2 linked regions of the Kluyveromyces lactis genome follow. The protein of the gene in region 1 purifies or fractionates together with the protein of each later gene. This does not show direct contact. Links are inferred from orthologs where the notes say so. Each region holds a gene or a part of one and is shown in the gene's direction. Other genes may lie near its edges.

Region 1 (4,570 bases):
AATATTCTTCCGTTGAAGGCGGTAGGGTAACTATATATCAGTTCCTGTGTCACACAGATGTCAGCGATTCTTGGATTTAGATATAAACTGAACATGGCTCCTTCTGTGGATTCGAGACTGTATCATTGAAATACATTTCACTTGTTATAAGTGAACGATTACGTTCGGTGGTCTTTCAAATCCCCCAAAGGTTACAAACAATGACGGAGACTTTAGATCTTAGCAATAGTCGGTGGGTATTCGATCAAAGCCTGTTACAAGGTGATGCGCAACATGCAGAAAAATCTCAGGGTCAAAACTTGCACCATTCTGAAAAATCTGTTAGGGAGTTGGTTATTTCTAAACAACATACTCGTGTTTTCCCTGTGGATAACCAATTAATGGGCCGGATGGAGGATCAATTAGTTCGATGGAAACGACCAGCATCCTCGCATCTTGGCACAGTACAAGTAATCGAGGGCACTCATCCATACCAACAGGAACCTATTTCAATGTCACAAACGTGGTCCCAGATAAGAGATGCATTTTCGACAAGAATGCAGAGAAATAGTATCAATGATACACAAGAGGATGAAGAAGAAGATTTAGATGGGCTTGACTTGGGCAATACCGAAATTTGGAATTACAAAGACAAAGCATTTACTACTGAACGTATTGACACCTACCGTTCCAACATTATCGATGAATACAATGCAACAACGTCAATGACTGCAAAAGCCGTACCCGTAACGTTGAAATTACCAGCAAGAACAGATGATATGACGATAAATAGTCAGTACACGTATCACTACCCAATTCCACAGTACTACCTACCACATTCACAACAACAGCAAAACAACAACAATGTAACAAACTCTAGACAAATGACGCAGGCTTCTCAAGATGCATCCTTCTCTTGCTCCAGTTGGTTATGTTTTACTTGAGTGAGATTCGTATAAAACTGACGCGCGTCAAAAAAAAAGACGAACCATGTGATTAACTTTCATAGACAATGAAACAGTTTAGAAAACTGGAAAAAAACGCAAGATTAAAAAGTTCAAAGGAATTTAGGCTAATATTTATAATCAGTAAGTATCGATCTCAGGCACCTTTAAATACAATTGGTAACAGATGGCGATTAATACTAAAAAGATCAAACGGTTCATATTCTTTCACCTTGTTGTATTTCAATTTTTCATCGTTGACTTTTCAAATTCTGAAAAGTTACCCTGATAGAATTGATAAGGGGCAAACTGTGCTGATAACACTAGTATGAAAAAAGATTGAAATTAAGAATTTGAACTTAAAAGGAAACCATTATATGAATGAGCGCGTGGTTTGAGTATTGAAATAAATCCTGTAGAACAACGTTCATTAACTAGTTCATCGATACTGACCTTAAGATAATAATATCCTCGGAACAATTGACATTGAGATTTGTACCTAACATTACGTGGGTATCTTCCTCTATTATTTTTCTTTCTTTCTTTCTTACAGTTAATAACGTTTTCAATTAAGAGTAATTGATTGATTGGTTGATTAATTAGCTAATTTAAAGAAGTTATTAGGGCGTGCAAGTTTAGAACTACAGATATCAAAAATGGCAGGTGCATTGGAAAACGCACGTAAGGAATTGAAAAGAGTAACCCTTGAAGACCATGAGGAGAGTGAATATGGTGCTATTTACTCTGTTTCTGGTCCTGTGGTGATTGCAGAAAACATGATTGGATGTGCCATGTACGAATTGGTTAAAGTTGGTCATGACAACTTGGTGGGTGAAGTCATTCGTATTGATGGTGAAAAGGCTACAATCCAAGTGTATGAAGAAACTACAGGTGTTACTGTTGGTGACCCTGTTTTAAGAACTGGTAAACCATTATCTGTCGAATTGGGTCCAGGTTTGATGGAGACAATTTATGATGGTATTCAAAGACCATTGAAGGCCATTAAGGATATCTCTCAATCTATCTATATTCCAAGAGGTATTGATGCTCCAGCTTTGAGTAGAACTATCAAATGGCAATTTACTCCTGGCAAGTTCAAAGTAGGCGACCATATCTCAGGTGGTGATATTTTCGGTTCCATTTTCGAAAACTCTCTTTTGGATGACCACAAGATCTTGTTGCCACCAAGAGCAAGAGGTACTGTTACATGGATTGCTTCCGCTGGTGAATACACCGTTGATGAAAAGATTCTAGAATTGGAATTTGACGGTGTCAAATACGATTACTCCATGTATCACACATGGCCAGTGCGTGTTCCAAGACCTGTCACCGAAAAGCTCTCTGCTGACTATCCTTTACTCACCGGTCAAAGAGTCTTGGACTCTTTGTTCCCATGTGTTCAAGGTGGTACCACCTGTATTCCAGGTGCTTTTGGTTGTGGTAAGACTGTTATTTCTCAATCATTGTCTAAGTACTCCAACTCTGATGCAATCATTTACGTTGGTTGTTTCTCTAAGGGCACTGAAGTAATGATGGGTGACGGTAAGGATGAATTGATAGAGAACATTCAGGTAGGCGATGAAGTAATGGGTAGAGATGGACTTCCAAGACAAGTTGTTGGCTTACCAAGAGGTCATGATGACATGTACCAAGTTACCGAAAAATCAGAGGACAATGAAACCGCCAAGATTAGTTTCCAATGTAACAGCTCACACAAGCTAGTTCTTGTCACTCCACAAGATATAAGACTAACAGAGTCTAAGGAAAAGGTTACCGTTGCATTCAACAGATTGGCAGACATTTCAGTGGGAAATGGTACTGAATCACGCACTGTTAGACTAGTTGAAAGAGCTGAAAAATCTTTTGCTAATGCTGAAAGTAATCAAGCTATCATAAATGCTGCTGAATTTGTCACTACTATTGACACGACATCCATTGAATGGACTTTGGAGGCCAGGGATATGTTGTTGGTAGACTCTTCCATCCGTGAAGTAACTCAACAGTTGATAAACCCTGTGTTGTTGGAGAAGGAACACTTAGCAGGCGTCTTAAAATCAAACGATTTCCAATCTTCTTTGGCTCCACAATTTTCGTATCTGTTGGGTGCTTTCGTTGGCTCCTCCGGTAAGGACAACTCAGAATATCTTCAACAACTGTCTGCTCAATTCGATAAAAAGATTGTTGCCGAAAAGTCTATCGATGTGCAATCTAATGGGAAGACCGTTGGCACTGCTAGCATTGTTATTTCTCAAGAGCCAGTTCAAGAAAATAAACGCAGAAAGGTCGCTCAAGTCAGTCTTGTCTCCAAGATCGTTCAAGAATCTTTCTCTAGCGGCATCCCATCGTTCATGATGTCCGAAAACATCAATGTTCGTGAAAGTTTCTTGGCAGGTATTGTAGACTCTCAAAACCAAAAGCTAGATGACACAGTCGCTCTAAAAACACTATCAGTCAAGACACATGACGGTATTGCGAGATTGGCGCGTTCTTTAGGTATCCGCGTTTCCGGTAAGAAACAAAACCAAGAATACACATTGACTCTTTCAGGTGATGCTTTGAAGAGTGTTTCAAATTGGACCTCCACTTCGAACATCGAAAAGGTTGATGTAATTCATAAGGCTCAACCTATCTCTTTCGATTTAGAAAAAATTGAGTCTGCTGATTATTTTGGTGTCACTTTAGCTGAAGAATCAGACCACAAATTCTTACTATCAAACATGACTTTGGTTCACAACTGTGGTGAAAGAGGTAACGAAATGGCTGAAGTTTTGATGGAATTCCCTGAATTATTCACAGAAATTAGTGGTAGAAAGGAACCTATCATGAAACGTACCACATTAGTTGCAAACACTTCTAATATGCCTGTCGCTGCTAGAGAGGCCTCCATTTACACTGGTATTACATTGGCTGAATACTTCAGAGATCAAGGTAAGAACGTTTCTATGATTGCCGATTCGTCTTCTAGATGGGCTGAAGCTTTGAGAGAAATTTCAGGTCGTTTAGGTGAAATGCCTGCTGATCAAGGTTTCCCAGCATACTTGGGTGCTAAGTTGGCCTCCTTTTACGAAAGAGCTGGTAAGGCTGTTGCTTTAGGTTCTCCAGACCGTATTGGTTCCGTTTCTATTGTTGCCGCTGTTTCCCCAGCCGGTGGTGATTTCTCCGATCCTGTTACTACATCAACTCTTGGTATCACTCAAGTGTTTTGGGGTTTGGACAAAAAGTTGGCTCAAAGAAAGCATTTCCCATCCATCAATACTTCTGTTTCTTATTCCAAATATACAAATGTCTTGAACAAATACTACGAAAAGAACTATCCAGAATTCCCAGTGTTGAGAGATCGTATGAAGGAAATCCTTTCGAACGCTGAAGAACTTGAACAAGTTGTCCAATTGGTCGGTAAATCTGCTTTATCCGATGGTGATAAGATTACCTTAGATATTGCTTCTTTGATCAAAGAAGATTTCTTACAACAAAATGGTTACTCTACCTACGATGCATTCTGTCCAATTTGGAAGACTTATGATATGATGAAATCATTCATCTCTTACCACGATGAAGCTCAAAAATCTGTATCAAACGGTGCTAACTGGGCAAAGCTATCTGAAGCAACGCGTGATGTCAAGCATGCTGTCTCTTCATCGAAATTT
Region 2 (3,080 bases), on another chromosome or scaffold:
GCCCTGCTTTGACTGCCCATGGGAGGTAGATGGAGTAAAGTCTTTCCTTTTGCACTTTCTTTAATCTCAATGGTGCTAATAGAGCACCAAGTGCAGCCATTGGGACACCAATGTTTGATGCCTCAAATGCTTTAACTGCAATCTCACCTTCGATTATGATTGGTAGGTCATTTATTGCATGATAAAAGTCATGGCATTGTCTATATCTCTTAAATATGAAAGCATGGACAGGATCATCGATATAAGTAACTGGTGCCCTTGTGTCTGGAGAGACCCCCTCTTTCATCAACCATTTGTAGTACGTATAGCCAACTGAATTTTTATCCATCTTTGACAATCGTTCCATGTCAAGGCTTTCCGATGTGATGTTTGGTCTGTCTTGTAGAATCCTTCTACCAGTCTTATCTAACAACATTGTCCGTTTTAAACTTTCAAGAAAGCAAGGTAGAGCAGTAGCTTCTCCTAATTGAACGATGTTCTCACCGTTCTCCGGGTGGAAATAAGATTTTAAACCACTGATACCGAAGAGCATCATTCGCTCATACCACCAAAGTGGAACATGACCCTCATAATTAGGTTCTATCGGTCTTGTGTTTCGTAATGCATTTAACCTTTCTTGAGTCCTTTGTTCCATCTTATGCTCATACTCTCCATTTTTATTATGCAGATTCCCTTTCTCCATAGCATCTGCTAGTCTAACATCTTTCCCAATCAATAGGTCTCCAAAAGCTGCTATTGCAGTAAATACGATTGTTCTCTTGCTATTATTCAATGGACTGAAAGCGTTACGACTTGCTTGTAAGGATTTCTTACTTACAGTAAACATTTGCGGTCGTCGTCTGATGCGTTTAATAGCACACTTTCCCTAATAATAAAAAGCTGTGTCCCGGAGTACAACTCGTCAATTGAGTCAAATCTAGAATCTGTGTAAACCTTGATCCTAATCCACGCCAGCAATTTCAATTACAACCACTTTACAATTTTCAATGATCTTCCTTTATCTCTAGTTAAAGTATATGTGGGTGAGTCGCATCAACTTCAAGAAAAGGTTTAAATTTGAAATATTCAGAAGAATCATCATACGAAAAAGGCAAAAGAATAGTAAAAAGGTTGACAAAGGAAAACGCCCATCTTAGCAAGGCTCTTGCTATCTACACGCTAAGGGAGCTTTGCTACATTAATTCTCAATTGCATAAATCCGAGATGACTACGGAATTATATAATGATGGGGCATATAAAAATGCTCCTACATATGAGGAGAGCTCTTTGTTACAACAGACATGGTTGATTAAAGAAATCATAAAGCCTGAGCTACCTAACGTTATGGACCATGTTGAGAAATGCATAAACCAACTATCTAGTCCTGAGAAATTTCGAATGCCTCTTACCAATGGGAATAGTGTCTCCGTTAACACATCAGGTGCCGCGCCAGACAGCACATCGATTAAAGGGACAATCACTAGACAGGCCGGATTTATAGTGGATTTTCAGGCTATCATTAAGCTTCCAGACTTTAGCAGGGGTAAACCAATAGTTCTAAAGATGGACCTTGATAAACAATTTCCCTTAGTTCAAATAAATGCCATAATTACAAATTTATCATCCGTATTGTCCTTATTTGACGAATTACAGCAACTTTCCGAATTACACGATATGAAACTTGATGATATTCATACTTTTCACAATAAAATTGGGAAAATATTGGAGTTACTTACACAATCTATTACATTATTACAAAATCCTCCACGAGAATTGGTCTTTCCGCATAATAACAACAGCTTCTTAAACGACAACTTCTCTGAATCTCATGACATTTGTGAATCAGCACATCATTTGGTCAATATGGAATTAGTGCTATTCAAAAACGAGATTTGCTTGGACATTAGGAATTTGACAAAAGTCATTAAAAAACCCTGGAGTGAGATCGATTCGAAAACTGGGTTATCATTCAGTGATAAAGTCAGAGACAGGCTGAAGCAAGACAGAAATGGAAAAATCGCAGAGATCCTTAAGGAAGAAGGCTTGCAAGTTGAACAAACATCTATGATAAACAATTTGATATCCAGTTTTTCAGCAACTGAAAGAATCACTCTTCCGCAAGCAAGCGATCTATTGGCTAGGTGTGTGACATTTAACGGGCGAGTTGTCACTGAATGCGAGAAAGTTTCAATTACCACCAGCGATCCTACATTGATTAGTGTCAGTGCAAAGTTGAACGGGCTTGAAAACAAAATCAGCAATCACTTTGTAAATATTCAAAATTTAAGTTAACAATGCGATAGATAGAGAGTCGGCGTATGCTTATTTATCTCTCTTCATGCAATTCCTGTATTCTTTGTATCAGTTCTTCTTTACGATTCTTTAAGTCTTTGAGACGTTCCAATTCTTCATGTGTCGAGGATACTATTACAACTGGATCCGATTTCACATTATCTATGATGGGGTTACTTTCTTGATTGTTGAATCGTAGTTTATTCAATTCGAATGTTTGTGATAGAGTGGCCCGCTCCCTTTCCAATTTGGTTAGAGCTTTTTCCAGTTTACTATATAGTTTTTGTAACAATGGTTCTATATCCTCCATCAAATCAAGTCTGGCCCTCTGCACATCATATTCTGATACCAACTGGAATACCCTCTTAGTTTGTAGCATATTTATAGCAAGTTTAGTGCTTCTATCTGTAGTGACCTTAGATACGGTTAAACATTTCGCCATGTCATCGACACATGCTGCTAAAGCATCTACACCCTCCGAAAGTACCTCTTCCATTGTGTCAAATCAGCTCAAATAACAATGCCAAATTATCACAGTGCGTTATCCAATTACAATCCTGCCGATCTATGTGAAGTGTTGTGTTTTCATGTGTATGTTGCGTAATGTTTGTTTACCTCTTTTCTATGTGGTGAATTAAAATAATTGTGATTGAAATTAAGTCCATTCTTTTCTCAGTTTCATGATTTTAGTATTATCTTCACAGAAGTGGTAAAGCAGCTTCAGCAGTATTTGCTACGAGGCAGTCTCTCCATTGAAGTGAATCAGAAGCCGAATAAGAACTTGCACTTTGCACTACCTTTTTTTGCAT

What was found.
Region 2: the proteins of VMA1 (region 1) and RAV2 purify together in Saccharomyces cerevisiae (affinity purification with mass spectrometry; 4 studies listed by BioGRID, with this or other methods). This does not show direct contact. The link is inferred for Kluyveromyces lactis from reciprocal best matches to the Saccharomyces cerevisiae genes VMA1 and RAV2.

Annotation. Positions count from the first base shown.
Region 1 is NC_006042.1:527,693-532,262, forward strand, and holds the start of VMA1 (H(+)-transporting V1 sector ATPase subunit A), read left to right. Parts: upstream 1-1,579; coding exon 1,580-4,570. Other genes in the region: KLLA0_F05379g (uncharacterized protein), read left to right, coding at 201-923. UniProt on the Saccharomyces cerevisiae protein: Catalytic subunit of the V1 complex of vacuolar(H+)-ATPase (V-ATPase), a multisubunit enzyme composed of a peripheral complex (V1) that hydrolyzes ATP and a membrane integral complex (V0) that translocates protons.
Region 2 is NC_006040.1:1,586,080-1,589,159, reverse strand, and holds RAV2 (Rav2p), read left to right. Parts: upstream 1-1,203; coding exon 1,204-2,271; downstream 2,272-3,080. Other genes in the region: ubiquinone biosynthesis protein COQ4, read right to left, coding at 1-826; SPC19 (Spc19p), read right to left, coding at 2,306-2,767. UniProt on the Saccharomyces cerevisiae protein: Component of the RAVE complex, which is required for stable assembly of the vacuolar ATPase complex V-ATPase under many conditions. May be required for transport between the early endosome and the late endosome/prevacuolar compartment (PVC).